Linked DNA regions of Schizosaccharomyces pombe. Changing the gene in region 2 together with the main gene of any one other region gives a genetic interaction. Each region holds a gene or a part of one and is shown on either strand. Other genes may lie near its edges. The genes, in order: txl1, cut8 and rhp6.

What was found.
Region 1: mutations in cut8 (region 2) and txl1 impair growth when combined (synthetic growth defect), as found in Schizosaccharomyces pombe (one study listed by BioGRID).
Region 3: mutations in cut8 (region 2) and rhp6 are lethal when combined (synthetic lethality), as found in Schizosaccharomyces pombe (one study listed by BioGRID).

The regions. Positions count from the first base shown.
Region 1 is NC_003423.3:758,269-769,287, reverse strand, and holds txl1 (thioredoxin-1-like protein Txl1), read left to right. Parts: upstream 1-1,797; 5' UTR 1,798-1,809; coding exon 1,810-2,033; intron 2,034-2,085; coding exon 2,086-2,734; 3' UTR 2,735-2,936; downstream 2,937-11,019. Other genes in the region: DNA repair ERCC8 family protein ckn1, read right to left, coding at 7-731, 776-854, 903-1,020, 1,101-1,208, 1,272-1,419, 1,470-1,506; ubiquitin C-terminal hydrolase Ubp10, read right to left, coding at 3,035-4,017, 4,119-4,455, 4,504-4,692; 1-phosphatidylinositol 4-kinase Stt4, read left to right, coding at 5,059-5,066, 5,122-8,906, 8,948-9,753, 9,793-10,813, 10,867-10,880. UniProt on the Schizosaccharomyces pombe protein: Has a role in cellular detoxification of alkyl hydroperoxide.
Region 2 is NC_003424.3:4,471,359-4,482,547, forward strand, and holds cut8 (nuclear proteasome tethering factor Cut8), read left to right. Parts: upstream 1-6,119; 5' UTR 6,120-6,491; coding exon 6,492-7,280; 3' UTR 7,281-7,283; downstream 7,284-11,189. Other genes in the region: MFS family transmembrane transporter Mfs1, read left to right, coding at 1,253-1,913, 1,967-2,901; protein dhm2, read left to right, coding at 3,932-4,216; protein Pex19, read right to left, coding at 4,512-5,116, 5,259-5,352; scs22 (VAMP/synaptobrevin-associated protein family protein), read right to left, coding at 7,284-7,937, 8,019-8,134, 8,364-8,553; SPOM_SPAC17C9.11C (zf-C2H2 type zinc finger protein/UBA domain protein), read left to right, coding at 9,547-9,654, 9,800-10,376, 10,535-10,572; G-protein-coupled receptor Stm1, read right to left, coding at 10,602-11,189. UniProt on the Schizosaccharomyces pombe protein: Together with nucleoporin alm1, tethers the proteasome to the nuclear envelope. Involved in ubiquitin-mediated protein degradation and facilitates the degradation of nuclear proteins like mitotic cyclin and cut2. Required for normal progression of anaphase.
Region 3 is NC_003424.3:296,156-307,262, reverse strand, and holds rhp6 (ubiquitin-conjugating enzyme E2 2), read right to left. Parts: upstream 1,658-11,107; 5' UTR 1,541-1,657; coding exon 1,499-1,540; exon of another isoform or gene 1,452-1,498; coding exon 1,387-1,451; exon of another isoform or gene 1,207-1,386; intron 1,174-1,206; coding exon 1,053-1,173; intron 948-1,052; coding exon 844-947; intron 796-843; coding exon 672-795; 3' UTR 501-671; downstream 1-500. Other genes in the region: U3 snoRNP-associated protein Lcp5, read left to right, coding at 1-299; protein pat10, read right to left, coding at 2,234-2,263, 2,308-2,344, 2,403-2,492, 2,532-2,589, 2,728-2,800; SPOM_SPAC18B11.09C (serine O-acetyltransferase activity), read right to left, coding at 3,244-3,411, 3,470-3,547, 3,623-3,929, 4,032-4,102; transcriptional corepressor Tup11, read left to right, coding at 5,552-5,675, 5,743-5,827, 6,000-7,635; SPOM_SPAC18B11.11 (GTPase-activating protein), read left to right, coding at 8,477-11,107.

The DNA.
Region 1 (11,019 bases), on a different chromosome or scaffold from region 2:
TAGCAATTATTGATAAGTCACTGGAATATTAATTAAAGAGTCGTATACTTCTTGAATTATGTTTCGTCTTGTTTCTAAATCCGAAATCTTCGTAGGCGATTTTAGAGCTTTAGGAGACCACATGTAAATGTTCCCATTCATATCACCAGTAAAACACTGTTCAAAGTCAGGACGATAGGCAGCACAATTAATACGTTTTAAACTGTGGGTTGAAAGTCGGCGCACAAACGAGCCTTCTAACAAGTTCAATAAGGCAAGAGACCCATCATCGTTGGGGAATAACACAAAAACATCTGAATCCATAGAGGGTTGGATCATGCAAGGATGTACCGCGAAGGAAGTAGTCTGGTTATGAATAATAGGTCCAAATTCTCTCAATGTGTTTCTTCCACTTTCCATATTCCATACTCTTATTCGATCGTCGGTACCACAACTTGCCAAATATCGAGCATCTGAAGTCCAAGCTAATCCATTAACGGTGCCGTAATGAGATATATTTGTCTGGTTACTGGGTAAATACTTATTATGTAGATCCATACATGCGAAGCTGGATGATACTTTACGAATGTCCCAAAGTCTGCAAGTGCCATCTGCAGAGCCGGACGCTAACACGAATTCATTCTTAGGACACCAATCCACCGCAAGGACATTACCCGTGTGTCCAGACAAACTATGAGTATAACTACCACTTTGCATATCACAAAGCCGAATAGACGAAGACCGGTAGGCGGCTATCGTTAGATGAACAATCTCAAGAATGAAGAATATAACGTACTGGCAATTAAACAATGTGATGCAATGGGCGACCATGCATGTGAATAAATCATGTCCTCCATAGTAAAAGTGTAAGCTTCCTACCAATATTAGAACATTGGTTAATTTGCGATTTCTACTTTTATTACCTGTAAAGTAGAAACATCCCAAACCTTGAGCGTATGATCGAACGACGAGCTAGTAAAAATACCATTATCAAACGGAAACCAATGCAAATCTGTTATTCCAAACTTATGACTCGTTCGACTAAAACACCGCAAGTTAGCTATTGATCACTAGTGTATATATTGAAATTGTCATAAACTAGGTAGAAAATGAATGCTTACGCAGGAACTGCATTTAAGGTATCCAAAATTAAATCTTCATCTTCCTTTTGGTCAATATTTTGTAGGTCCCAAACATTGATAGACGAGTTGGCTCCTCCAGAGACCATGCTGTCAATAGAAATTGTTAACCAAAAATTGAAAGCTTTGATAAATCAACGATATAGGTCATACAGCTGATGAATTGTATTATCAATGCTTAGTGCATTTACGGATCCTAAAATGCCCGCACCGTGTCTACGTTTAATTTTCACATCCGGATTCAGCGCTAACCGTTGAAGACGATGCTGCAGTAGTTGCCTTCGAAAAGAGCTATTTGGCTCTACAAATGTGAGACTTGAAATCCTTATATCACATAATCAATTGCATTACCTTGGCCCCATTCTCGTGCCAATAAAAAAGAATTCATTCGATTTCACCTAAGAAATAGACTCAGATGCTACAGTAAGCAACTGACAGCTTAAAACAACCCGGTTTTTAAACCATGTATAACAAATTAAGTCTAAATAAAATTACAGCTAGTTTAATATGAGCGGTAAATAATACTGTCAATTAATCAACTTCTATGTTTAAATAGCAAACTCAAAGGTAGTTTCCAGGAAACAATAATAAAAAAATATGTTTTTCGACGTTGGCTAGACGCACTACTAATAACGGTCGTGGTGTACGAGATGGTATTGGCAGACGGTTTATAGAACTCAACCTCAACCATATGTCAGTTATTGAAATTAGATCGTACCAGCACTGGATCTCAACGATCCCTAAGTCCGGATATCTTGCAGTTGATTGCTATGCCGATTGGTGTGGTCCTTGCAAAGCAATTTCTCCCTTATTTTCACAATTAGCATCGAAATATGCTAGCCCCAAATTCGTTTTTGCTAAAGTAAATGTAGACGAGCAACGTCAAATTGCCTCCGGGCTTGGCGTCAAAGCAATGTATGTGTTTACCTAATCCGTCACTGTACCATTGGTTTTGCTAACATTTTAGGCCTACATTTGTTTTCTTTGAAAATGGCAAACAAATTGATATGCTAACTGGAGCAAACCCACAAGCTTTGAAGGAAAAAGTTGCTTTGATTTCCTCAAAAGCCACAGGAACTGGCGCTCTTGCTTCTTCGTCATCGGCACCTGTCAAGGGTTTTGCTAGCTTGCAAGGCTGCATTGAAAATCCCCAATTGGAATGTCTAAATCAACAAGATGATCACGATTTGAAAAGTGCATTTAACAGTAATCCTTCCTCATTTTTAGAGTCGGATGTTGACGAGCAATTAATGATATACATACCTTTTCTTGAAGTGGTAAAGGTTCATTCTATTGCAATTACTCCTGTTAAGGGAGAAACTTCGAGTGCTCCAAAAACCATCAAATTGTACATCAATCAGCCCAACAATCTTTCTTTTGAAGATGCTGAGTCATTTACTCCAACTCAAGTCATTGAGGATATAGTTTACGAACAAGACGATCAACCTACAATTATTCCCCTTCGTTTTGTTAAATTTCAACGTGTCAATTCTCTCGTTATTTTTATTTATTCGAATGTCGGAGAAGAAGAAACTACTAAGATTTCTCGCTTAGAATTATTTGGTGAGCCTGTTGGTGATTCAAGTAAAGGAAAACTACAAAAGGTCGAAGCTTAGGTGCTTAACAATTTGTTAACTAAAATCATGACGGTTTACGAATTTACCTTTATGAAAATCTAGTTTCGTATACATTACTCGACCAATCTGGTGTCTTGATACCAAAGAATACTACAAACCTTTCATTTGAGCATTGTAATTGCTGACTACTCACGAAATGGGAATATAAATGGATAATCTAATTTATATAGAATAAAGATTTTCTAAGCGGTAACGTTTGATAAATAAAATGAATGTTTTTTAATTTTGTCTCACGTAGAGGAAATTTTGTGAGAAATCCAAAAATTCCACATATTAACACTATGATGACCTTTCCCAAAGCTGAATAAAACTTTCGCCTAAACGAATCATATCGCTACTGATTTCTTCAACATATAAGTCTTGAATTTGATACCATTTATTGGTAGAGGGGTTTCGAATTTGAATTCGGAAGTTATGAAATTCTTCTTCAGCATGTGTCACGGACTCATGTATAATATTAGCAACGAGGTTGTATTTCGTAGAGATTTTCGGATTTGACTGGATAAATGAGTCATCAATAAATGGGCTCATATCAAAATCATCCAAAGGAAATGTCACTATAGTTTGGTTTCTTTCCGTAAAGTAATTGTTTTTCATAAATCTTTTGATGTGAAATATAAAGTATGGAGGAGCCGTCATTAAATGAAAACGCCGTCGCATACCTGCAAGTTCTTGGGTATGTACCCCATTATATTTGTTAAGTATCTCTTTTAATTCTACTTGTGGGATGATATTACCTTCAAACTCATCTTGGAATATGGGTTTCGGAGGTAAATCAAGAGTAAGGTAAAGAAAAGGGACGACGTTAGTTTGTATAACCCTATCACCAGTAAACACAACTTGCTCTCCCTTTTCAGCATGTTGGCGAATTTTCTGTGATTCAATACGTACAAATCCTTGAAAGCTGTAATGTACAATAGAAGTAGGTTTTGCTATGGTCGACTTTTTTCCACCAAGGCAATTGTGTAAAGTATTTAAAAACCAGGAAAGGAATTCTACTGGATCTTTTTGTTCATTAATAGAATATTTTTTGTGAGAAAGAACTGTAACCTCCTGAATGAGTTCTTGAGGAGAGACATGGCTCTTGAATGCTTTATGGTTCCAAAGTTTACGAATAAGGATTGCCAATCTTTGGACAAGTTGAGGGCAATTATCAAAGTTTTTAAGCAAAAAATAATTTCGAAATGGCTTAACATGGGCCAACATATGAATCACCACATTAAAGTAATCGTTATTTTTTATATTGTTCATGCCAACAAAACCTACAAGTGTTAGAACTTAAACCATTAAATAAAATGAATCCTATCACTTTTTCATAGTAAGCTTTATAAAAGAAAACAAAACAATTCCCCACGATACTTACCTGGAACATAGGGTTTGAGCATTAAATCGTAACTGAGCTGTGGTGTGTGATCTAGTCTTTGGACTTCTAGTTTCGTAAAAGTAGGTCGCATCACATAGGCAATATCTTGTAAAGCGCTGGATTCTACTTGATAAGATTCCGGCAAGACATAAAACTTTAATGTTGAGCAATTTACAAAAACATGATGATTTTCGGTGAGTGCATGGAAATAAGCATGTGATGAAGGTCCACGACCCTGGAAATATCTTCCACAGACTAAGCAAGCATATACACTAAGATTTGTCAAGGAAACGGAGCAAACCTTTTCAAAATCAAAATCTAACAATTTACGATTGATCTAATTAGCGTTAATTATAGAACAAAAATGCAGCAAAATCACTCTTACAGTGTCCAAATATAGGTTTTGTGATATTATTGGAGTTGTTTCGTGTTCTTCCATCTCTTTAGACGCAATATCATGAACATCTTCCATGTCTTTACCCAATTCGAGTTTTTTGCGTTTTCCATTATCAATATTATTATCTTCTTCAATATGGCGTTTTAAAATATTATTTTTATCCTTATTTTCTGACATTTTTGAAGCTTTACCATCTATCGATAACTTCAGTTACTAAGTCGTATGGAAGTATCTTCCACATAATTGCACTCGTCTAAGTCAACAGCAGATCACGCTCTTTCAAGTCATTTTCTACTTTTACTAGCTTTCTCTTTCTTATTTTCATATTTAATGTATTAAAGGGATATCTAAATACTATTTCAAGCCGGAGATTTCACATTTAGACCTGGTTCTCTGCTTCTAAAGCCGAAAGCGGTTATTAGTAGATTCTTCCGTAACTTTCATTTCATTTGGTTGATAGAATCTATCCCATCAAAATTATAACTTATTTTTAATCCTTTTTGATTAGATTTACATTACCCTTGTAATCCCCTGCCAAATATTATGGATTGGTAAGTGGTTTTATTTTTTCCCCTTTCGAATGCACAGTCTACTAATTATTATTAGCATCGATAAATCAATCAGAAGGGAATCTTTACGAAAACTTGGCTGCCTTCCCGATCACGGTTGGAATCTGTTCGTACAATCAAGTAATCGTTACTCAAAATTGCTTGAAGCAGATTCTAAGCTATTTAAGGCCCAAAGAATTGAGGACACTGTCTTGTCAATTTGTGAAGTTACTTTGGAAAACAAAGCCTCTGAAAATGCCTTGACTTTGTTCCAACAGCTTCGCTTTTACTTGCTGAATTATCTATTTTTGGAAGATACCTCGGAGTACAAAAGTGTTTTATGCTCACTTGATGAATCTGTCTATCCTAATCTTTTACCACTGACTGCGAATATTTGCCCATGTATTCTTAAGGCGCTTTTAGCGCTTGTCAGGCAGCATAGAGAATTATCTTCCGATATAGTGAAGTTTTTGAATAGCATTTTTTTGGCACTAACTCGTATTCTAAATACTCCTCATTCGTCAAATAATAATCCAACTCATACTAAAACGACAATCTTTGAGAAAGTGTTTTATGCCTCCCACCTTGGTTTCTTTTTTGAAGAAATAGCCGATGCTTGCATATCAGCTTTGCCGCAAGACGCGTGTTTATGGGCAATGGAGGTTTGTAACACGATACTCGTCTCAGACCTTCCGTGTAAATTAATAGACCTTCATAATGATTCTTTTCTTCACCATTCCAATTACTATGCTGGGTTTGGGTTGAGCTATTACCTTTACCTTTCATCTATGAAAGCATACATCAATTCTTCTGGTTGCCTTTGGTATGAAGATGCTACCTCATTTTGGGATATTGTGAAACATCGCCCTTCTTCTCCGGAGGAGAAGCCGTTTTTAACGCAATTCCAAAGCATCTTAAACCTTAGTGATAAGTTTTTGTCAAAAACTGGGACCTTGAGACTTCAAGAGAAGTTGGGTACTTCATGCAATTTATTTTTTGTACTCGTACTAAAATTGGCACTTCTATCCTCCTCCTACATTGGTTTTGTTCCATACACATATAGTGATTGGATTAATGTGTTGTTAGGTTCCATATCTGAAGATCCGGAGCTCTTACCTCATTTAATTGAACTTATGGCTTCGTTGGCCTGTGTTTTCCCCACTCATTTTCAGTTTGCTATGAAAAGATTGCGTTTAATCGCTATTTATGCCCCCCGCTTTGATGATGGTAATGTGACTTATGCTCAATTAGCCTCTAGAAAGCTTGCTCAACTTTTCAACTATTCCTCAAGAGATACTGCTATCACTTCAATATACCAGTTTGCCAACTTGCTGTCTCCTGCTGACACTCCTGATAGTTATCTTGCAGCTCCAAAAGAACGCCTTTCTATTAGTGACAATATGTCTAGTTCTTCTTCACAAACTGCAACGGTAAATACAATTTCAAACTATTTGAATGTTATAGATTCTGTTCGTGAAATTGCTTTGACAGTTAACGATGAGAAAATTTATGGATTAGCTATTTCTTTGTTGATACAAAAGTTCTCAAGAAAATTCGACTCGAGGGTGAGTACTGAATTAGTGAGAACACTAGCAGATATATCCACTAAAGCTAATGATCGTGACTTTTCAATATTGGTTCAGTTTTATTCTATTCAAAACAAAATGCTCGTGAAGAACGGTGATGAAGCTCTGACAATTGCTATTTGTGATTCCCGCTGTTTGATCGCTAGAGGTACGGAATCTAACTCTTTCAAGAGGTCAGATTTGTTGAAAAGTCTTCTAGAGGAGATTATCCATATAGGTATCGTTCGTGATACACCTGCCCCTGAACTGAAAGGATATTATTTTGGCATGTCTAAAGCCGTCCAGGCTTTAGTCGAGTGTGTTGCAGGTACTGATTGGAGCAGTTTGCCCAAGGAAGAAATGTATCCTGCACTGTTCCGTGACATGTGGTTTACTTTAGTCATAAATCGTTTCCGTTATTCAGTTGATTTAGGTGAAACACTAGAAGTTGACCTTGAAAATATTGCCAAAAATTCTCCCCTTCTTGTTTTTGAGGATTTTGGTAGCAATTTTGAGAGCAATTTGGAACTAAACACAGTCCTCAGGACTCATATTGAGCATTCAGTCATTTCTCAGATTAAATCAGAGTTGTTAGTCAGGGTCCCTAACATTGATCTTAAGCCTTTGAGTACTTCAGAAATTTGCTTCTTGTCTGCTGTCCTTTTACTTGAATCTTTGCGTTGCAAATCGAATAAGCTTTCTGCGCTTGTAGAATACTTGCTTGATCCATCTTTGAGAGACAGTCAACTCCCCCAATCTATTCGTGCTATTGCCCTATATAACTTAACATCTTTCGTTGAATCATTGTCCAAAGAAAGAAGAGTTGCTTCTTCTACTATCGACGAATTTCAAAAACTGTTGTGTCTTTGTTGTAATAGAGTTGATTGTGTACGACAATTGGCTTTGGAATGTATGAATTATATTATGGAGACGTTACCTCATTTACTCGGTATCAAAGAAATACTGTTTAGTGTTTTAGAGCTTTCCAGCCTTCTTTGGAAAGCTCGCACTGAAGAATGCACTGATCAGTATGTCCCTCAATTATTATACAAATCCAATAAGCTTAATTTGAGTGTAATACTTTCAGATATTTACTCTTGCAGGGAAGAAGTTCTATTTCAATTTAATAGACATGCTAGATCATGGATTCAAAATTCTTCCAAAGCAATTCCTTACCAGGTTAAGAACTTGCTTGAATCTTATTTAGCAGACTTTGTGGACTTTGACGATTTAGAAGTCGTTGAGCTTGGACGATCTCTTGCTGTTGAGCTTGGCACTCGAATCGTGAGTTCTGATCGTGACAATTTTGTTTTGCCTGCTTTTGGAAATTGGACTCCCGATACGAGCTCGGAATTTATGGCCGAATATACCATTCGTCAACGGTATTCTCATGTCGACAATTCTATTTTGAATATTGAGGGGGATATGTCAACAGATAGAATAGATCTTATTTTGAACGAAAAATCCAAGCTTTTTGAAACTCATTTAGCAGCACTTAAAAGTTTAGAGGATGATATATTACAGGGAAATACTGTTTCTCCGCAAAGACTTCGTAACGAGGTTAGAAAAGCAGCCGCGCATGCTGTTCAAGAACCTATATTTCAATTCTCCGTTTTGGCTCGAAAAATTGTTCGTATTCCATTTCTTGATTTTTCACCTTCTTCGTTCAAACTCGGGATCACTTTATGGAATTGGATGATGAACCAGGTTCCCTCATTCAGTTCTTTTCTGATTTCGAATATTATTAGAAACTGGAAAAATGAAATTGTAACCGAAAAAAGGGGTTACTTTTCGACAGCCAAAAGTAAATCTCCGTTGGCACTTCCAATGACTTATTCTCCGACTGAAAGAGCTTCGTTTTTGTCCTATAAAAACAAGGTTATGTCTCAAATGATACCGCACTTATTGTTGTTGCAACTAATTGCAGGAAATTTTGAGGGCTTCTGGTACGGTGATAGACAGACTGCTAAACTTATTGTACATTTCATGAAATTCGTACTTAAGAAAATCACTTCAATGGAAGTCAATCTGAACGTTTTAACTAGGGAGCTTCATTTCAAATTTGTTTCATTTGGCCTTCGTATCGCTGAAAATTTGTTGAATAGCCCGCTTGGTTCAAGGTTTTACAATCTTTGTGTTGATGCTGGACTATGCTGGTTCAGCGGAATGCCCAACTGGACGTATGGAGCTGACAAATTACATGTAGCAGCGGAAATAAGTGTTATGCGAAGTCTTCGCGATAAATTAGACAGCTTTTTATTACGTTATCCACTTAAAGGTATGTCAGTTCCTTTCGATATATGACTAACAATATTATAGTGTCTACCACATTAAAGCAAAAGCTTCTTATTATATTACTCAATAATGAAATGTATATGCTTTATACTTGGCTGACCCCTGTTTTGCATGGTCGAAATGTCAGGATGGTTGAACCTATTCCTGATTCAGATGCCGCTTCGTCGCCAATTACTTTGGAAATGTTACAGGTTGCTTGGAACGTTTCTCCTAATATAGTGTTATACGCTCCTAAAAGATTTCAAAATGCTCCATTGAAGCAGATGGCGTTGAATTTCGTCATTGCAAATCCCTTTACTAGTGTAAAACATGAGGTTGCTTTGGAATATCTGTTTGAGCACTATCCAAGCGGTGAATTTCCTATAGATCGCAAGTTTATTCTATACTGGGAGCCAATGTATCCAGTTTCAGGGCCTGTAATGTTCATGCCGAATGTGAAATGGAATCCACAATTATTGCAGTACACCATGCGTTCTATGGAAAGTTACCCAGTTTCTGTAACGTTTTTTTATGTTCCTCAAATTGTTCAATCATTACGTTATGATAGCATGGGATATGCTGAAAGTTTCATTCTCGAAACCTCAGGAACATCACAGTTGTTTGCTCATCAAATTTTGTGGAACATGAAAGCTAATCTTTATAAAGATGAAGCCGCTACTGTACCTGATTCTATAAAACCAATATTGGATAGGGTAATGGATAAAATGATTAACTCTTTATCTGGAGAAGATAAGCAATTTTACGAACGAGAGTTTACCTTTTTCAATGAGGTCACGTCAATTTCAGGAAAATTAAAGCCGTTCATTAGAAAATCTAAACCCGAAAAAAAGGTTAGTTCTTTTCTTGAGATACATTACTAACATTTGTAGGCTAAAATTGATGAGGAGATGAAGAAGATAAAACTTGACGTTGGTGTTTATTTGCCAAGTAATCCTGATGGTGTAATCGTAGGAATAGATAGAAAGTCGGGAAAGCCTCTTCAAAGTCATGCTAAAGCTCCTTTCATGGCAACATTTAAAATACGCAAAGAAAAGTTGGTTGATGCTGACCCTGAGGAATTGGCGGTGAATGGTACAGAAGAAGAAGCCGGCGATTCGGCTAAGAAACAAACTTATGAAGTTTGGCAATCGGCCATCTTCAAGGTTGGTGATGATTGCAGACAAGATGTCTTAACACTCCAATTAATTGCAATGTTCAAAAATATTTTTAACTCTGTTGGATTAGACGTTTATCTTTTTCCTTATCGAGTTACTGCAACTAATCCGGGCTGTGGTGTTATTGATGTTTTACCAAATTGTATTTCACGCGATATGCTAGGTCGGGAGGCTGTCAATGGATTGTATGACTACTTCCGCACAAAGTTTGGTGATGAAGATTCTATAGCATTCCAAAAAGCCCGTAGTAACTTCGTACAAAGTATGGCCGCTTATTCAGTTATTACATACTTATTGCAATTTAAGGATAGACACAATGGAAATATCATGATTGACGACCAAGGTCATATTTTGCATATTGATTTCGGTTTTATTTTTGACATTGCTCCTGGAGGTATTACCTTTGAGAGTGCACCTTTTAAATTGACAACAGAGATGATCGCTGTTATGGGAGGCAGTAATAAATCGCAGCCATTTCAGTGGTTTCAAGAGCTTTGTGTCAAAGCATTCCTTGCCTGCAGACCTTATGCCCATTATATATGTCAAGCTGTGGAGGTTATGTTGGATTCGGGTCTTCCTTGTTTTAAGGGGCAATTAACTATTACTCATTGCCTGGAGAGATTTGCTTTGAATTTAAATGAACGGCAAGCATCTACATTTATGCTTCATTTGATTGAGCAGAGTTATGCAAACAAACGTACGCTTATGTACGATCAATTCCAGAAGGCCACAAATGGTAAGATGATTTTAAGCAATATAAATGAGCAACTAATTACTAACTTTTTTAAGGTATTCCTTATTAATATAAAACAACCAGCAATAATAATTATTATCCGTTTAAGTACCTTGCAGCTAAGTTTATTAGATCTAATATAACGATCATTCAGTCATAATAGTTTCTTCTGCAATGTCTTTTTTGTATTGTAGTACGATAATTTATCA
Region 2 (11,189 bases):
ACTTACTTAATTTATTTTCATGACATTTGATGAATTTAACTTGCGTTTTGTGCGGTATTCATTTGTATAGTAAAGACATGAAATTATAGTAAAGGCGACTTTGTATTACTTTAGTGTTGGGGATATTAAAGTCTCCTGCTACTCTTTTTTTATTTTGAAGTAATTTTAAAGAGATGAATAAGGTTAGCAATAGTTTAATTGACATCAATTTAGTACATTGACATTTACAAAAATCTGAGTTTTTAGCTTAGCCGTTACTTCTATCCATTAATGGTGATGTCCGACTAATGTCATTAGAGCAATTAGCATTTGCAATCATAAACTAGACGATCATAATCAATCAAAGTAATTGACAAACAACAACACTATGAATTGATATACGTACAACTATGGAGTTGTCACATCTCTGCAAAACTACAACCAAAGTAAATTCAATTTAGTTTGCTTATTTTAACTTCTGATTGTCAGTAACTTACCATATATACTCAACGCATTCTTTCCCATTGCCGCGGAATTTGTACAAATTTGACTAGTGAGGTTCGCTAAACTTCTTGATGATAGTAGTATCGACAGATTGTCATCACCGTATGTCTTGAAATAATTAGTTGGGTGTTTGCATTCCCCAATGAAATAAAAAATCTTCAATATTTAACTTTATTTTTATTATTTAAAGTACAAATTACATTCATCAATGAATGGAGCTGTTGAAAGCTTATTGTACATAAAAGTAATTAACAAGCGAGAGTATTCTATCTATTTATCTACTTACAAACAGATCAATCTAATGGAGTCGTTAAGAGTACCTTTATCCTTTTCTAAATGTATTCATAGGCTTAAACCACTAACTTAAAAGTAATTTTATTGTGTTGACAAAAGTTAAGCCACTGCTAGAATAGTGTAAATATTTTAAGCGAATTACGGTTAAACGATGCGACGGACAAAGATAACATTTTTCCCGACAAAGCGCTTCTATGTTTATCGACTAATACTGAATAAACCTATCCTCGGTTTCAACGAATTTTGCTTCCGAGTGTATAGATCAGCGCAAGTGGAAATTCTTAGAAGTGGCTAAACATGCTATTTAGGCCAATGTCCAACAAGGAAATTTTCATGACATGAAGTAAGAACTGGTCTATTTAAAGAGGTTCTGTCTGGCAAGCAAAAGTTCTACGAGGAATGTAATGACAATCAATTTTGTCAAGTTTTTATTACGATCCACTGAGAACAAGAACTTGCATTGAGAACCGATTGGATGTGGTTTTTAAGAGAAACAATTTTTGGTGAATTAGTGGAATACTTTTCTGGCGGTACTCGCCAAGTTGATGTGGAGAAATTAGGAGTATGCACAGATAATAGTAATGTTGAGTTAAGTAGTTGCCCCGATTCTTCATTTGACGACGAGAAAACTAACCAGGTTAACTCTGAAGGATTGATTATTGTGACATGGGATGGCGAAGATGATCCTGAAAACCCAAAAAATTGGCCTTTATGGGCAAAGCTCGTAGTAACATTTGATGTTTGTTTTTTAACGTTTGCCGTGTATATGGGGTCGGCAATCTTTACTCCTGGTATTCAGGAAATTCGAGAGACGATGCATGTAGGAACCGTGCCCGTAATCTTGGGGCTGACTCTTTTCGTTGAGGGGTATGCGGTTGGCCCTCTCATTTTCTCTCCACTCTCTGAGGTACCTCAAATAGGCCGTCAAAAAATTTATGTGCTCTCCCTTATTGTTTTTATCTGTCTGCAAATCCCCACTGCGCTAGGATCTAGCTTGGGTGTTTTGCTTCCAATGAGATTTTTGGCGGGAGTTTTTGGCTCACCTGCCCTCTCCACTGGAGGAGCCTCTCTGGCCGATATTTGGCAGCCATGGCTTTATCCTTATTTCATGTGTTTCTGGTCCCTTGGCGCAGTTGGTAAGCTGGATCATTTAATTTGATAGTGAATTTGTGACTAACTAGTTTTCTAGGTGGTCCTGTTTTAGGTCCCTTGCTTGGTGCAGCCATGGTAGTTGCTAAATCATGGAGATGGCAGTTTTGGCTTTTGATGATGATTTCTGCACTTGTCTTGGTAATTATAACTTTTTTTATGCCAGAAACCTCTGAATGGCATTTATTGTATAAAAGAGCTAAAAGACTGCGCGAATTGACTGGAAATCCAAATTATAAAACGGAGGCCGAAATAGCCTCCTCGCAATTGAGTAAAGGCCAATTTGCAAAGCAAATATTGGTTCGTCCTATAATTCTGTGTGTCTCAGAACCAATCGTTCTGTCATTAACCATCTATATTGGATTAGTATATTCAATTTTATACCTATGGTTCGAAGCCTTTCCCATCCTTTTTACTACAGTCTACCATTTTACGACTATTGAAAACGGGTTGGTTTACATGGGTATATTGGTAGGTTCAGTTCTAACCGTAGCATTTTACTTTATTTACCTTAGAAAAGTGATGATTCCTAAGTTTGTGGAAAATAAGGGTAAGTTTCCTGCTGAAGAAATTTTAATCATCTCATTTCCAGCTGCCTTTTTTATTCCAATTTCACTCTTTTGGTTTGGTTGGACAGGAAGAGAATCGGTGCACTGGATTGTACCAATTGTTGGTACACTTTTCTACGCATCAGGTTCCTTTTTGTTGTTCCAAAGTATGTTTCAATATTTGGCAGCTGCATATCCGAAGTATGTTGCATCAGTATTTGCTGGAAATGCTCTTTTTCGATCTTCCATGGCTGCAGCATCTCCTCTATATGCTAGAGCCATGTTTAATAATACAGGTCCTTCATATGCCCCAGTGGGGTGGGGAAGCACGATTCTTGGTGTTATTTCTTGCATAATGATCCCCATTCCATTCTTGATTTATAAATGGGGTTTGAAACTAAGAAGTCGATCAAAATATGCCACTTAAAGAAAATTCATGCTAAAAAAATACCTCTTTACTGGTCCCTCACCTATACCTTCCTTTATTTAATTCTGGTCTTTTGTGATCATTACATATTATTCGATTACTCCGTGGTAACCTTAACGAAGGATACGAATTTAATTTTTATACATTAGATATTTATGAGTTTCTTTGCTGTTTATTCCTTGTCATTTTTTAAAGTGCTATTAGTTGGATATGGTTATTTCTACTCTAGTCTTTAATAATTTCTAATGTTATTAGTCTGGAAATATTAGTGTTTAATAAAATGGAGCTTGGCGATACGTTTACAATTGCTCTAAGCTCGTTACTCTTAGCCAAAAAAGGAAGCCGGAATTTATTTACAAAACACCAACTGAATAAATTTGTTTACGTTTTTAAATGTGTTTACCTAATAACTTGACTTTGTTAAGTGGATGTTAGTTCCAAGCGTTTGATTGTTAATCATTGCAGTTTTAATATAAAAAAAAAATGAAATGTGAAGAAGAGTAAAGTTATAAATATATTTTTCCTCATCCCTCCTGTTTTCAAACGTATTGAAAAAGATCATGCTAATTGACTATTTTTTGCGTGCGAATCCATTTTGAAATTTAATCTTTCATATTCTTATTTAAATAACAATAAATAAGACATTAAGATAACGAGCAGACACAGCTAACTACCTCTAACTTAAAGTTTTTTTACTTTAGGGCTTCCCTATATTTTCATCTGTTCTCTACGAATTAACCGCTTTATTTAGTTTACCTTGAAGTTAATTTGTGTACTATCCAAAACATCGTTAAAGCGTAAGCAACGCGACAAGTAGTTTATAACACTATTGTAAAGCATTTACCGCGTTATAGCTTTTTCCCTTAAATTCATACCGAACACAGTACGCCGCGTAAGATTGAATAAGGTTACATTGAGCTTTTCCATCGCATTCAAAATGCTGCATTCTTAGTTATCCAAGGCTACAAACGCTTATTATGGAAAGGGCAGTCGAACTTTCTGTTAGAAGTTAGATGGTTTTTAATTCATCATGAGTGATTCCTTTCATTATCAATATGATCGTGCTTCGCCTGAACGACTAAAGCCTACGATTTATTCGTGGACGCGTCTTAGACAATCTACACGTGCCCAAAATGAAAATGAACAAGCTAAAAGGCGACAGGGGATTTTGGAACATAAAAGGGGAGGTTCCATGGAAATGAATAAATTTATAGACGAAAGCGCTTATATGGAATGGGAAAAACAACTTGAAAATGCCTCTGAAGATTATGCAATTGAACCATCGGATCTGGAAGAAGAAGTTGATCAATTGTAACGATTTCTGAAAAAGGAAAACATAACACTATGATTTTATTCGTTTGCTGCTGCTGTCAAAGCCTTGCGTTGGTTCGCCTTGACCTAATGTCAGCTAAAAACTTCTAAACAACTTTATATAAACCAACTTAACATATTTTAGCAGTTACAATCAAAAGAATTAATTACCTAAGTTCGTGGGTTACTAAATTGAAAATGAAAATAAGGAAATTTTTACAAAGAATCAATTATATATAATCCAAAACCCTAAGTTCAATAATATAACAGCGATGATACATATCCTTTAGTCAAGCCACTTACTGGGTTGGACATCCTGCAGTTTCCATAGAATTATCAATCAATGGAGCTGGAAGCGGCTTTTCCTGTATTTCTTCTACCAGTTTCGAAATGATATCTGCATCTTTACGAGCATCATATTCGGGACTCTCAAAAATTTGAATACATTTCTGAATTTTCTGGTACTGTTCTTCAAAACCTTGCTTCTCTGTCTCCTTCGCATTCTTTAAAAACTTAGGATAGTTTGCTTCAAGATCTTTAAGGGGTTCATACAAAATCTCTTTACTGGTAACTTGTGACATTAGGGAGTTTAAGGCAGCCTCTAAAGCACCATAGTTAACGGCTCCATTATCCGAATCTTTTTCCGTTGCAAACTGATCCTCTAATATAACATTGAGTAACTGATCATTCTGAAAGCTAGACGAAAGTTGACTCCCATCCAAGCCAGACGGTCCCCCTAAGTCTTCAAATTTGCTCATCATTTCTTGAATAAGTGAATTCAAATTATCGTCATTCTTTATCCTCTCATTCTCTTTTGATGTATTACCGGTTTGTTTATGCTCATCTATGTTTTTCTTCTCTTCGTTCTTAAATGCACTGGGTACATCTAAATCATCTAGGATATCTTTGTTTTGTTAGTTGTTTCCTTTTAATGTAAAGTCCTTTCTACCCTCTCATTATTTTTTATATTTATGCAATGCAAAATTCACTTGAACGAAATATCGTAATACACAAATCGTAGTCAGGACATTACCGATGTTCCATACCATCCAAATCATCAAGGTCGTCAAAATTCGGCTTTGTGTTGCTTTTTGTATTTTCTTTACGGTTTTCGTCTCCCTCAATAGTTGGATTTGACATTCCGTTTATATATCAGATGTCAGCATACGTTTGTCGTTTTTCAAAAGCCTCTTGCAAGTTCAATTATCATGTAATTCACAAAATAAATAAAAAAGTAGTAAGTTCAAAAAAAATGAAAATTTGGAACTGCCAAAAAAAAATAATAAAGTGCTTCTCTATTATTTTTCATGTAGGTAAAACCGTAGTGATCGTTGTTTATCAAAGTATATCAGCGTGAAAACGTTCAAGTGCATTAAGATGCGTTATTTGGTTTCAAATTTGACGCAATTTTAAATCTTCAAACAACAAATTTAATGGAATTTTTTTTATTTACTGGATGTATGAATCGTTTTAATTATTCATTGTTTGTGTATCTGGTATGAATCGAGTACGAAATTAACGATCATAAAATCGTCGACACAAGAACGTAAAGTCTACCCCCTGCTTTTATTACTTGCCTATGATCAGTTGAAATGAAGCTTTGTTTTCATTTTTAGCATCACCAATAAGTTAGAATTGACTACTGTTTACCAACAACAATTAGTTAAATAGTTATTGACTATAACATTGATCCATACGCACAATTACTTCGAAAAAAATTATTATTTTGCTCTTCCAACTTAACGATTTTCTGTACTGCGTTAACATATTATTGTAGGCTTGACACTCAGCTGCGGTGACATTATATTAAATAAAATGTAATTTTTTCAGTAAACAAATTAAGGAATTAAGTAATAGTTTGGTAACGTCTCATGAGAAGAAAACTCTTGAGCCACTAAATTGTTCTTACCATTTTCCATTATCTTTTTTAAGAAATCGAGGTTCTAATTGAGCTGGTATTGCGGGCAATAGAGCTTCTTGTAATATAGAAATTATAATCGACGGTTTTATTTCATTTGGGCTGAGAAAAAAATTAAATTGCTAGCTTTCATAAGTCGATACACTGAGCAATAGCCATCCTTCCGGCTTTTAAAAAAGGAAGCTCATTAACAAAGTATCCTCTATCTTTGTTTTATTGTTACTACTTTTGAAATTTTTTCCTCTTTCTTTTGGAATATCCATTTCTTTGTAATTTTCATTTTCTTTGTTATAATTAATCAGACGATTTCACGTTTGAAGTTGGTATCTTTATTTGTTGTTACTGTTCATTTCCTTAATTCATGGAGACCTTATCTTATTCTCAGATTAAGAAACGCAAAGCTGATTTTGACGAAGACATTTCTAAGCGTGCTCGTCAACTACCTGTGGGTGAGCAACTGCCATTGTCGAGACTGCTACAATATTCAGACAAACAACAGCTTTTTACAATTTTATTACAATGTGTAGAAAAGCATCCTGATCTCGCACGTGATATACGGGGCATATTACCGGCGCCGTCCATGGATACTTGTGTTGAAACGTTGCGTAAACTTTTAATTAACTTGAATGACTCATTTCCCTATGGTGGTGACAAGAGGGGTGATTACGCATTTAATAGAATTCGTGAAAAGTACATGGCTGTCTTACATGCGCTTAATGATATGGTTCCTTGTTATTTACCTCCATACTCTACTTGTTTTGAGAAAAATATTACTTTTCTTGATGCCGCTACAAACGTTGTCCACGAACTGCCAGAATTCCATAATCCCAACCATAATGTTTATAAAAGTCAAGCGTACTATGAATTAACGGGCGCGTGGCTTGTTGTTTTAAGACAACTTGAGGATCGGCCTGTAGTCCCTTTACTACCTTTGGAAGAGTTGGAAGAGCACAATAAAACATCACAAAACAGAATGGAAGAGGCATTAAATTACCTTAAGCAATTACAAAAAAATGAGCCACTTGTACATGAAAGAAGTCATACTTTTCAACAAACAAATCCACAAAACAATTTTCATCGTCATACTAATAGTATGAACATTGGGAATGACAATGGAATGGGTTGGCACAGTATGCATCAATATATTTAAAAACTAGAACAGAAGGCCTATAAGGAAACATATAATGGCTAATAGGAAAGCGGTTTGCACAGTAACTGTGTTATGAATTTGAGGAACAACCTTGGCACCACTAGTCGGACGCCCAAAAGACGATGAAACGCGTGCAAGTCCTATTTGATTTCCACTGTTTCCAGCGAACATAGATGGACTCGTAGCTGTTGATTGTCTTGTGTTATTAATTACATTAGCGGTAGATCTTAATGCATTATTTTCATTGTTAGGAGAAGTGGTAGTAGGCACTGACTGAGGCTTTGGGTAAGGTTCATTTTCAGCGACTGTTGCAGTAGGAGCTTTTACGGCAGTAGATGGGGCTTCATGGGGCTTCTGGTGAGAAACTGCAGATGTTTTAGGAAGCTGGGTATGCTGTGTAGTAGCTGTAGATGGAGCAGCTACGGGATTTGCATGGGTCGAAGGAAGTGCCGTTCCGTCTATTCCTTTAGAGTAAGATTGATTAACATTACCATTTACTGTGGTATAATTGTCAGTGGCAGAAGTAGGAATAGATGTAGTCGTTGTTTGAGCTGGTTGATGGTGAGCATTAGCATGAGCATTTGCAGTACTGGGGCCTTCACTATAAACACATCGAATTTTTCGTTCCGATATATTAGCCTTGCTGACTTGAGTCCACTATTAAAGTATTGGTTAGAACATCAATTATGTATGGCATGTATTAAAAAAGTAAATGTAAGTATATCTTTTATCACATACAATATCTGCTATATCCATTCCCTGTAATTCTGGCTTCAATTCAGTGCTCTGGACCAAAAATTTATCGCGGCATTTTGTGCCAGGAGCCGGTTCGTGATCTAGAGGCTGTAGGATAACTATTAAAAAAAAAGAAGTTAGTAAATGAAAATTTACAGCAATAACTAATGAGCACAAATTATCTTCCAGTGCACGCACAAAAACAATAAAAACTGTTAGTTTGCAAAAGAAAATCACGTTGATGACAACGTTTTTGTTCCACCCGACAACATCAATGATGGGAACCGCTTAAACGAATAAAATCAAAAAATGCAAATGAGGTTCAAAATTAAATATAAATTATCTTACCTTCAACACTTACAGCCGAATTGGCTTCAATTCGACCACCGTTGGGTCTCACACAGTACTGTTTAGGAGCAGTAGTTTTCACTTTGAATCCGATCGGATAAGGTGCAGTATTGCGAAGTTCTAAATCACATTTTACTAGTCGTGTAAGTGGTCGAGGAAACACAATTGTACTATCACATTCAAGAGCCATGATTTACGGGAAAGGCGAGTTTGTTGCGAGAGGTGGTACTACTTTACTCTGCGAAGTACCATTTCGCAGTGTAGCCAAAAATCGTGGCTTTACGTCACACATACTTGTGTGTGATTTTCCGAGGCTGAGCAAAGATTATGGTAATATATGGATACTGAAATAAAAGGAGATAATTATTCAAGTAACTGTTTTCATCGATATTATACAAAGCCTTATAACGATATTATTAAAATAAATGTGATATTTTGAAAGTAAAAAGTAATATATGCTAAAAAATATTTTGCAGTAGGTGAATAATGTACGAATGCAGTATGGTTATAAAATCCCAATAAGTATATGGATTTATTGTTTGTGAAATTAATAAATGATATAAATACCCAAAAAGGATGATTCAAGTTATCCTTTTTAATTTCTAAATGTCATGTTAATGCGTTTGAATTGTCTTAATTACAACTTAAGAATGCAAGGATGAAGTAAACATTATGATTTCAAAAAAAAATTGCGCATTCGTTTACACTTTCTATTCAAAGGAAATACGTTTTTTGGTTTAGACAATCATTAAATAGATATTGTATACTTTCGTTAATGGTCATTATGCTAGGGAAAAATCAACATTTTTATTTCAAGGAATATCAGCGATGCTTTAGAAAGCATACCATGTATAAAGGAAACGAATTACTCGAGTGGATGCCAACTACAGGATCACGAAAGTCAGTAATCATTTTCAATCATCGGTCTGCGGATGTCGTGCAATATATACAATCATTTATTCTTCTAATTCATAGCGTAATCGGTGGTAACTACAATTATTTTGTTTCATTTGACCTGTCATTTCTATTTCAATGACCAACAAATTTATAATGCTCTCAACTGCGATGTTTGGTAATACGATATTGTAGATATTAGCACGTTAGATGTTGAGTCGATGGAACGTAGGGCTATTTTTGAGCGTCATTGTAATTTGCCTTTTGCAACTACAAACTCTACACAAAAATGGTTTTGAAATGTTTGGAATGCGATAAATTGCTTTCCTCCATCGAAATGGCTGAATTTCATAGTACCAAAACCAGTCATGATCAATTTGAGGAAACTGAAGAAGAGGTATGTATAGATTTTACTCCTTTTACTTTTTGCTGAATGGTTGAAGCGTTCGAATTGTTAACCATCCTTATTATTATAATTCACGAAAACAATAATTTGTTTCACTCGATCCTTTCTTTTTATTAACAACGATTATAAAACATAGATTAAGAAGCGTTCTCCCGAAGAGTTAAAACAAGCTATTGAAGCTTTAAGAGAGAAAGCAAAGGAGAAAAAGGAAAAAGAAAGGATTTTGGCTCTGGAAGAGAAGAAGACAAATTATAAAATCCTTCAAAAATCCAATGATGAAACTGCACAGGCTATGAGAAAGATGCAGGATCAAGCCCGCTTACGTGACTTGCAAAAGATCCGTCAACAAAAGGCTGAAGATGCTGAGCAGCGTAAGAAAATCCTCGCAGAAATTGAACGCGATAAAAAACGACGAGCTGCAGAACGGGAAAATAAGAATTCTTCTGTAAAAGAAACGGCTGCTCCCATCAAGCAGCCTAAAAATGCCAATTCGTCTTCTACTTGTACTCGCACCCCTCCTACATCAGGCAGATTTTCTATCCGACACGATGGTCAAGTTTGTAATATAACTATTGCAGCTGAGGAGACGCTACGCCAATTGGCACAACAGGTCGCTGAGAAAATGAACGTGTCACCGCCAACTAAGTTTACCACTACCTTTCCCCGTGCCTCATACGGCACTGATGTATTTGATAAACCGGTTAACCAACTTGGTAAGTATCAAACTAGTGTTTACTGTCATCATGTGTGACATTAGAATACATGTTTTTGAAAGAATATTGTGTTGCTACTAGCATCTAAACGACATATCTTTGTTTCCTCTGAAAACTTTGAACTATAGACATGGAATATATTATTAACGCTTGCATAGATTTGTTTCCCTCAGCCGTTCTTATTCCGCAATGGTAAAGTTATGACCTTTTGATAATTATGCTGTGTTAATAATGATTACGATACTTGATAAACTGGTAGAAGATATATATATCAAGGAAGATGGTGCTGAACGCGCCAAGTATCCAAGGCAGGTTAGCATATGTGTAGTTTAAGTAATCGGAGGCGGGAAATACGAGAATGCTGAAAGCGTATGAAGTGTTTCCTACAGAGGCCAACACAAAAAAGATAATGGATAATCCTTCGGTAGACTTTGCTTTGTGATTCTTGATGATTTGAGGAATACGAGCACAGAAGTATAACACAGAACTGATACAACCGGCAGTAAACGGCCATGCATTCAAGTCATCATCACTCTTGTCAGAAGAGGCACTAGAAATAATTAAGTTTCCAACGATTGTCGAGACAATAACCACACATCCCATTACACCAAATTGTTGACGGGTAGAAAGGCGATCCCACCAAATTTGTTGTTTACCAATGGGTGCATGAAGACCTTCTTCTAATGAACGACTTTGGAGTAAGGGTTCGTGTTCACGACTGGCAATACGACGGGCAGCTTTCCAACGATAGTAGTAAATTTGCATAAGTAGGGTACTGTCAGAGACAATGTAATAAAATGAGAGAACCAATAC
Region 3 (11,107 bases), 4.2 Mb from region 2:
TGCAAAAAATGCGTGAGAGGATAGAGTATGAGGAAAGTAATTATACTCGCCTTCCTAAATTATCGAAGAAAGATTTAAAGAAATCTAAACGTGTAAAGAAACACGATTATGGTGGTGAAGACTGGTCATTGCTTGATCGCAAATTCCATGACGATGACTTTTCAAATCGTAAATTAGACCTGACTTCTAGAGCTAAGAGACGTGCTAATTTTGAAGACGTTAACGATGGCTCATTAGCTTCACCTGTTCAAATTGGCCAGTCATATCGTAAAAGAAAGAAGAATTTGAAACGTCGTTAATCATTATTTTGGGAACAGCCGTTGAGGTTTACTTAAAAAAATTGACCATATGTATTTAAAAAAATGGAGTTTTTGCGCTTGGTTTGGTATTTTTGTGTGGTTTAGGGCAGGTTATGTTTAATAAGATCAATATAAATTTTGCATGTACATGTCTGTATATGTGATTAGTCGCACATTAATATAGTTTACAAGTTCTAAACATAAGGAAGAAATCATTCATTCGTAGATGTAAACAAAAAAATCTTAATGATTTACTATAGTTACAATTTTGGCAACTTTGAAGCACTTAAATAGATTTAATGTGAAAGGCGGTTGAAAAAGAAGAGTAAGTTCTAATGAAATAGGGATTATTAAGACAGCTATGTCTTGAAATCAACTTTCCCAGGAGTCTTCTACAGTTTTTCGTACTCGACGCACATACTCCTTCTTGTTTTCACGATGCAGCTGAGCAGCTTCGGCATTTGCAGGGGACGCATTATTTGGATCATTAAGTAAGCTAAAAGTTAGTTATGAGAAATTTAAGTAATATTTCTGAAAAGCAAACCTTTGAATAGAGGTAAGAATTGCTGCCACATCGTAAGTTGGAGACCACCTGTTTTGCAGAATGTCCAAGCAAAGTTCGCCATTTGCGTACACATTTGGATGGAACTAAAGCCAATAAGTAAGTAAACAAAAAAAACCAAGAAAAAAGTAAATTACAACAAATCAAATAATCTAATTTAAGACTTGTCTAAATACAATGACTAAGCATACCATTGTGGAGACGAATTTTACAAGAGGAGGTTTATTAGGATATTGTTCATCAAAAGAAAGAACCAACTTAAAAGTTCCATCTTCAAATGGAGTGTCTGCTGGGCCAATGATAACAGCATTCCTGCTCAAATGGTTAGTCCAACATCAATAATAAAAAACAAAAGCAATCAATCCAGAAACCAACAAGCATAAAAAGATCGCTTCTTGTAAGAATTTTGAAACGATCTCCTTCCTAAATATATGGCAAAAAAGGCATTCAATATATAGCACATATATTCACCATTACGTTGCATAACAATAAGAGAAAAATGAATTGACATAGGTAAACACTTACCAAAGCATTACATTGTCAGAGACAGGGGAAGCTGAAACTCCAGCAGGAGGATCTTGCTGCATCCTCTAAGAATTGGTTAATATAAGTCTTCTCGGATCCACAACTGCCGTACCTTAAAATCTCGCATGAGACGTCTTCTTGCGGTCGTTGACATTTTTATAGCAACCTCTCTTCTATTTGTGATAACTTTAAAAAAAAGTTGCACAAATATCGATATCGCCTTGGAATTACACCGAGTTAGGATATCCGATTTGCGTTGTTGGAGAAGGGCAGGGAACAATAGTAGGACCATTCACTCATATGCAGTATTTCATTATTAATGGGGCGCACCCAACACGTTAAAATAATAAAGTGCACGCTCAGTTACCTTATAACTAGACCAACCTTTTAGTAATGTTCAGCATTTGCAATGCAAGTCTGCTTTAGTATTAATGAACTACTACTTCATTTAAATTATAGTTAAAGATAAGGAAAGTTGATATTTTTCATTCAACCATTAATCATAATCAAGGTCCGTGCATTTGTTAACGGTAAACTGTTGAACATGTGAAAATTATATATATTTACTTTAAGCCTTTGTTCTCATTGGGTTTAAAAAAGCAACTAAAATACATTAGGAAGAAAAAATGAAAGAGCAACAGGATGTAAGAAATAAATTTACATTTTCACTAGCTTAACAATGAGAAAACACAAACAGCCAATTTTTTACGCGTCTGCTACGTGATTGAAATGGTAGTTAGAAATGTATCTGAACTCTTCACCATTAGATATTTACATTGTGCATAAATTTAATTATCCAGAAAAAAATCAGCTTAATACTCTTATTAATTCACTGACTTAAAAATTACTAAGTTTTGTTTGGAGTATTTAAAAATTGCTGCACAAGTTAATCGACAAAGTAAATATAAAAATTCAACTTACCGGTAAATATGTTGACACAAGAGCCGCGATACCCATACTGATCAAATGTTAACATCCATAGAACTACATTAATGCAATGAATTAGGATTACTTACAAAGCCATTGAAGTCGGAGATGAGCTGGGAGACGTATTTGCGTTCAGTAAATTTGAAAAGGTTAGGATAAAAGCAACCCATGCAATTAATCTTCTCGTTAACATGAAAATCCTAAAATATCTTACATACTTGAAACGAAGAAATAAAGCAGCCATACACGTGGCTGTGCTTACCAAACTCAAGCCAACTATAATAGGGTTAGCAAACTTAATAAATTATTTGACGAAAGAAAGGATTTAAAATATTCCACAATGAACTAAAGCTTGAGCGATTAAATCAGCGTAACTCACGATTGGGTTCAATTTGAAAGTGCTTTCTACTTTACCTTCTTCATTTGCTTTGACTCTAGCTTTGTAGGGAACGATTAAATCAGGTCGTTTAAGTTCTGCAGGCGCCATATTTTATGAATTTTCGTTGTCGAGACTTCAGAACTGGTGAATGGGATGGTTCCTCTACAAGAATATAATGAAGTTAGTAATAAAATGTGTAAAATGGTTTTAGGTTAGGTTATTTAGCATTCAAATATATCGTGGGGGTTAAGAGTTCTTATCCCACTAAGAATTTCAACTATTTTAGACTTGGCTAAGCATTAGAATTAAAATCGATTGCAGTACCACGTGGGGGCTTTAGCAAGTCATAGGAGGAAACTGATCCTACTTGGCGAGTGAGAAATGGATTTCTTTTAGCATTCTAAGTCTTCTATATAACAATTTAAAGCTCAAACATAATATAATATTATTTATACTATTTTAAAAATTTAGGAACCAAGCCAGGTGAACTTAAGAAGTTCAAAGAGCATTTAATCGTTAGATGAAATAATAAAAAAAAAAATTACACTCGTTCACTCGTTTTCAATTTTACGAATAGGTTTGGCAGGTGATCCTACAGCCAACGTATTAGGTGGGATGTCTTTTGTAACAACAGCACCCGCTCCAATTACACTGCCTTCCCCGATAGTAACACCTGGGAGAACTATAACTCCCATACCAATCCAAACATTGTCCTGAATCTTGATAAAATTTTGTTTGTTAGTTGTAAGATGTTTCAATAACTGGACTAACGCATACGTTAATTGGTAAACCAAATTCAATTCCGGAGTTCCTTGCTTTAAAATCCAAGGGATGTGTTGCTGTACATAGTTGAACCTGGAAAGACACCATTAGTATATTTATTTTTTGAATGAATGACTTGAAAGTAACTATATATATATATAAACATACATTGGGGCCTAGCATTACATTATTACCAATAGTAATTATGGCAACATCTAGAAATGTACAATTATAATTTGCAAAGAATTTTTTTCCAAAATGAACGTTAAATCCGTAATCAAAAGCCATAGGTGGCTCAATCTCTGGTGCTGAAGATTCGTCAAATACAAAAACTTCAGCCAACAGTTCAGCTCGTCTTTTAATCAATTCTGCTGGGCCTACATTTTCCAAATCTCCCATAGTGTCATTAAACCTTCGCATTAATTTTTTAGCATTACATCTCGCTTGAGTCAACTCCTCGTCGTAAGCCTTGTACCTGTTATTTAGTAATTAGAATATCTCCCTGCGTTCAATGTGACTTCAAACATGTCAACGAAGATGATATATTAGCTCGACAAGTTTTAAGCATTAGCCTTACGGTTGACCAGATATCATTTTTTGGTATTCAATGGTTTTCGGTATCATTTTTTGTACACGAGTACGAGTCATTTCTGTCGGAAAACAAGTATATTCACTAGCATTGACAATGGGACTAGTAGAGTTATCGATGTATAAATAGACTTATATATATATATATATATGTATTGATATCAATATTAACAAATTGCTGATAAAACTATACGGAAACTTTTTAGTGAAATAGTTTGTAAAACGTAAGTAAAAACATCTCGATGATATATAGCGTCAGCTGTTACACTACATTATGCCCCACTATGCAACATATCATTAATTGTCGCATTGCTTTATGTCTGGCCCCTACTCGTATTACCACCAGCATACCAAAATTTATCAAGTTACAAGTAAATAGTTAGTGTAGCTTAACAAACGCTGAGGGCCGTAAACTGACAAGCAATAACAAGATATGCAATGAACGTTGTCCGTCCCTTTTTTAATCTTGCTTTCCTCCTGTATCATTAAACTGATTAAACTGGGTAGTAATCCCAAACTAATGTCATATAAAAAAAAAATTCAAAACAACTTAAATAGTACATCAAACAAAAATTGATAAGTAAATAAGCAATAAATATGATTTAAAAATAAATCCAAAGTGTATTTATTAATCGCCCTTGAAGTGTAAATGGCATATCGTGTCAGATTAAATGCTCAATTTCTGACGGCTTCGGTTTGCTGCGCTTAAACATTTTGCTTTAGTGTTAATAAATTTCAACTATGGGATTTTTTCATCCTTCTTCATGATAACTAGATTATATGAAAAAAGCATCTTTAAGACAACCAACAATGTTTTAATATCAGTAAAGTGCGTCAAATTTCGCATCATTAAACAAATAATGTCACTTATGATTAACTGAGTCATTAGCAAATGAAATGTGAATTTACGGGTTAAATACTATCATAACTTTTAATTAATACTTATCAAGATAAAACTCACTGTAATAATGTCTTACAAAGGTCGGTAAACAATCTAATTAAACAAGGATCAGATAATAAATTGATTAAACACAAATTTTAATTTTTTTATATTGATATATAAAAACGGTTAACAAATTTTTCCATCAATAAAAAAAAAATGAATTACACTACGTTTCAAAGTTATAACTATTTTTTTATAACAAACATCAACTGAAAAGCAAGAAAATCTATATTCAAAAAAATAATATAAACGCTACAAAAAATCAAACAGTAAAGGGTTTCGAATTGCTTTTCTCTATAATTCAAATGAATTTCAAAATAATTGGGACAAGTTGCCAACACACACGCCATACTAATTTTGTGATACTTGCTCAACCAAAAATATGTAGCACCACATTCTCTATTTAAAGATTAGCGCAGCACAAGGAGCCGCTCGATAAAAGTGCTGCTACAAACGTTCAAGAACACAAGTTTATTCTTGTACCACAATTCAAGTGTTGCTATTGTTGTAAAAGGGCGTATATCAATCGGATTCAGTTTTTGCAATAAGTCTGACTGAAAAAAAAAATGGCGTCAGTGGAGGATGCCACGAAAGTTCAAGAAATGCTGGATGCGTTGAAGGCTGAATACAATGCTTTGGCTCATCATAGCTTCGCGTCCAAGGCGCGCGGAAACGACTATGAATCTTCTAGTACGTGTTTGAATAAAATAAATTAAATTAGCTATTTTTTGGAAACTAACATTCTGTTCTATTGCAGTGATACAATCTCAAATTCAAGAAATTGAAGCGTTCCGAAAAACCGTGGATGATATGTATGAAAAACAAAAATCTATTAGAGAAACGTAAGTTTTTATATGTTAAAGGTATCGAGGGATTATATAGTATCTACTTCTTTTCTGTGAAATTCATCATTATTTTATAATAGCATACGTGTCGCTCGAGATTTATATGCTTGAAGTAAAAAAAAAAAAACCTTTATAACATCTGTCTTCACCAATTTACTAACATTTATAGGTACGAAAAAGATATCAACAAGTTGAAGCGAGAGCTTGAAGAATTAGGTGTCGAAGCGAATACCGCAAGTTATAGAAATCGTGGAGAAAGATCTGAACTTGCCGCTTCTAATAATCAAGTTACCCATATTGATCAGGAACATCCCTCTCAAACCAAATCTACTTCTCAGCCTCCAAGTAACCATCTACCTGCCTTTCAGCAAATCCCTCCAATTCACCAATCAGCTTATCCTCAAAATAATGTTGCTGAAGTATTGATGCCTCCAATTCCTCCTTCAGTAGAGGCTTCTAGCGGGCAAAATTTTAATCAGGGAATTGCTTCTCAAAATCCCGCGATATCTACATCCAATTTACCTAGTACTACACCTTTATATATCCCTCCTGTTAATTACGGAGCAAATCAGGTTTCTCAACAACCAAATCCTCAATTGCCTGGTGTTTCCAATTATTATAATCCAAGTGCTACTTCAAAACCTGCTGTGAATGTCCAGCCACCGCGTATTCCTACCAAAGCAACTCCTTCGGCTGAACCTTCTATGACTGCTTCTGCGAATGCTGGTTCTATATCCCAAGCGGGTCCTGATGGAGAATATCAGGGAAGAGAACAGATTGCTCCAGTTTCAGATACAGAAGCTGCTAGAAAGACAACTTCTCAGAGTTGGTACGTCACTTATAACCCAGCATGCAAAAGGGTTTTTAATATTAATCTCGTGCACACACTAGAGCATCCCAGTGTTGTTTGCTGCGTTAAGTTTAGTAACAATGGCAAGTATTTAGCAACTGGCTGTAACCAGGCCGCTAATGTCTTTGATGTTCAGACTGGCAAAAAACTTTTTACTTTGCATGAAGAATCACCTGATCCTTCCCGTGATTTGTATGTGAGAACCATTGCTTTCAGCCCTGATGGTAAGTATTTAGTCACGGGAACAGAAGATCGTCAAATAAAACTCTGGGATCTCTCAACTCAAAAAGTTCGTTACGTATTTTCAGGTCATGAACAAGATATCTATTCCTTAGATTTTAGCCATAATGGGCGATTCATCGTCTCTGGTAGTGGCGATCGAACTGCACGACTCTGGGATGTGGAGACAGGTCAATGTATTTTAAAGTTAGAAATTGAGAATGGTGTGACGGCAATAGCCATCTCTCCAAATGATCAATTCATTGCAGTTGGTAGTCTAGATCAGATAATTCGAGTATGGTCTGTGTCGGGTACTTTGGTTGAACGATTGGAAGGTCATAAGGAGAGTGTTTATTCTATTGCCTTTTCGCCCGACAGCAGCATTCTTCTTAGTGGAAGTCTTGATAAGACTATCAAAGTCTGGGAATTACAAGCAACTCGTTCAGTTGGCCTTTCAGCTATTAAGCCTGAAGGTATTTGCAAAGCCACCTATACAGGACATACTGATTTTGTTCTTTCAGTAGCTGTTTCACCCGACAGCCGTTGGGGATTAAGCGGATCGAAGGATAGAAGTATGCAATTCTGGGATTTGCAAACAGGCCAATCTTATCTCACTTGTCAAGGACACAAGAATTCAGTTATTTCCGTATGCTTTAGCCCAGATGGTAGGCAATTTGCTTCGGGAAGTGGTGATTTACGTGCTCGCATATGGTCAATTGACCCTGCATCTCCTTGAATTTTTGTTCCTGTTTACATATAACTATTTGCTCTCGGAAATAGTTAACCGCATTGATTTTTGGTTACAAAGTTTACAAACTAAATTTTGTAAACTCTATTACTACACTGGTATATTTCCTTAATTTGTATCATATTTTTTTTGCAATATTATTTCCTTTACTTACGGTCACAATAGACAAATCATCACTCAGTTTTTTAATGTCACTAATTTTGGAGAATGGCTTCTCTCATAAATTAACTGAGACACTTTTTATTTAAAAAATAAACAATTAATAAAAAATTCCTTAATTTTTAATTTTAGTTCTATGATAAATGTTGCATAACTTGAGATAATACTTAATACTTTTCAATGTAGATTCTTGAAATACATGTGGTTGATTAAACATTTTTTAAATGGTTATTCTTGTATTTAGTAATTTGCATATCTCCACCTTGACTCCGAAATTCACCAACAGATTTATCATATACTCGCTAAAATTATGTATGTATTAACCATCTTCTGACTTCTTCAACGCGAAGAAGACTCATTGTTTCGATTTTATTGACTAAAACATAGAAATTGAATAAATCCTAATCGATGCTATATTGAGGTGTGCTTTTACAATCCGTTACAGTTCGATATCTGCACGTTTCTTAAGGCTATCTTTTCAGGAGTTTATAATAATCCTCCACGGCTTAAGCAGTCTATAATTTGGGTTTACTTCATTAAATCTTTAATTTAGCACTTTTTAAATATATTTAAAATCTTAATACTTAAATCGGTGCCAACCCAGGACCTATATTACGTTTGGGTTAAAGAAAAATTGTCGTTGTTTGCTGCATCGATTTATATCTAAGCTATGAAGGCTTTGGATATAGACACGATTCTCACCCAAATATCGAATCAACAGTCATTGGATAAACGCTACAAACGCATAAAAAGGCTCATCAACAATGAGCAGTTTTGTAAAAATGTAATCCTACAAAAACTTGTTGATTCCACTAAAGACATTATTGAAAATAAAGTTCACGGAAACATACTGGCAGCCACTATTTCCTTATGGACTCATGCAGCTGAAAAGCATAAAGAAATGTCTTCCGATGACCGTGCACTATTATTCAACGAGCTGTCAAAGGTTCCGAATTCTGAATACTATCCTGCTACTGTAGACGCCTTGATTGTTATTACATCCCAAGGCGAAAGAACTGAGTCTTTTTCAAATGACATACTTAAAGTTTTGTCTGAATGGTTGACTGATTTATTTACGATTATTGATGATATGCGAGCTCAGTCGAGAAAATCCTTCAAAGGAAGTGCTGAATTGAGAAATTACACCCGTTGTTTTCGTCAGATAATTCTCTTGCTTACGAATATGTTCAGGGTGGGCTTTAATTTATTTGATGAAATGGAGGTTTCTTCTATGCTAGCGAATTGTGTGTGGGTCTCAAAAAGCACCACCGATGAAGAAGACATTGCATTAGTTTTTTCGTTATTAAATTGTATTATATCCTATGGTCGCATATCTTCCGCTGTTTTGTATTCTATTGTTGAAGTAGTATGTCGAGCAAAATTTGGCTTAGTCGCAAGCTCACAATCAGCTCAGCAGATTGTTGAGAAACTGTTGAAGACAGCGACCAAGTACGAAGCACTTAATTCCCTAAAACGGATAATGGAAGAGACAGATGAAGGTTCTTATATAGCGATTATGGGTGGTATTCAAATCGTGAGTGCTCTCTTTACCGATATCCCTAGATCAGTGTATTGCACTAGAGGAATGCTGCTTGGATTCCTTCAAAGATCCTTAAAGAATAAATCTAGTCGAATAGCTTTAGAAACCACTCGTTCTTTATATAATGCTTTGGAGCGCCGTTCTTTTGTTGAAGTGCTTTATGCAGATGAATGGATCAGCCTTTTAGATTTGCTTGTTGAAATATCTTCATCACTTCCTAAATCTCTCAATTACCGACCTGGAACTTGGCAGCACATTGAGCCTAATATAATTGAGTCTATTGCATCGTATCAATTACAACATCTTCTTTTATTTAACGAAATTTTAAAACCAGACTCTAATCATTTTGTTCTAGAGAAGTTTCATGAGTTCCTGAAAATTAATTTTTCATATTTAACCCCTACACTTAGCCAAAAGTTGTTTACTGTTCTTGATTTACGATCACAGTTGCCATATTCGGAAGGATGGCTTGAGGATCAAACAATTCTACTTAAATCTTATTTTGATACTAGTTTTTCTTTGGATTTCCATGTCTACTTAATTGGTCTCTTTAGAAAAGTTCTATTTGCTTGTCCAGTTGAACTTCGCCCTGAAGTGTATGCTCGAATGCTTTGTCCCTTAGTGAAAAGTTTGGATAAATCTAGTTCCGAAGTTATAATTGATGAAGTTATTTCCTTAGTTTGTGATTTATCTTGGATATATCCATCGAATGTATTTCACGAGGTGAAAGACTCATTATGCTTTTATGCTCATAACAGCAGTAATGGGGATTTACAACTTAGATCTATTCAGGCAATAGTAAGCTTAACATTTTATTATGTTTTGCTACCCGAATTTAAATCAGTGCTTTACGATGGGTTGGTCGAAATTTCGTGTGATTTCAAAATTCGACGTACTTTTCGAATTCCAGTATTGAAGTTATTATTACAACTACGAATAAACACTAATGACTATTGTTTTGTTAACTTGTCTCCCGCTCAGTTAGAGTTAATATCTGTATATAGTACGCAATGGCATAACCCTTTTATATCTGAAGAAGCTCAACGCTGTCGGGACAATAAAGTAAAGGACAGAGATTTGTCGTTTTCTCCAGTTTTTCAAAAGTTTCCCCTGAAGGTGAATACCTCAGCTACTTTGTCAAAGGATTTAATGAGTTTGCCGATTAATGAATGGGTAAAAAATGTTATGTATATTGTTACCCATGAAACAGATTGGAAAGTTGTTCAATACATATTGATTAATTTTACTAATCAGCTTCGAAACACAAAGATGTTTACAAAAACTGTTGAAGCTTTACAGCTCCTTTTGAACTCTTTAAGAGACATCATTAATGGTAAACAATCATTAAATATAAATTTTTCGGATTTCTTTCGAATTGAGGATTTGCTCGTCAGTCTATCAAAAATTCTTTCTGTTTTGATGGTTTATAAAGATGTTCTACCTCCAACTGCTCATGAACAATTCTTCCAATTACTCAATCGTTTCGCTGAAAAGGGAGATAAAACAATGGAGTCATGTATCGATACTCTAATAACTAATTGCTGTGCCATGCAGTCATTTTCAATTATGCATCTACCTAAATTTTTTTCTATTACAATGTCTTCTAATTTATCGGAACGTAGTTTGGTCAATTTTCTTCGACTTCTTCACGTGGTGAGCGACAACTGGGAATTGAATGAAGGCTTAGAAAAAGAAACTATTCAGAGCATCTGTCTTTTTTGCTTAAAGGTTATCCGGACAAAAAAAGAAGAACTTGATGGT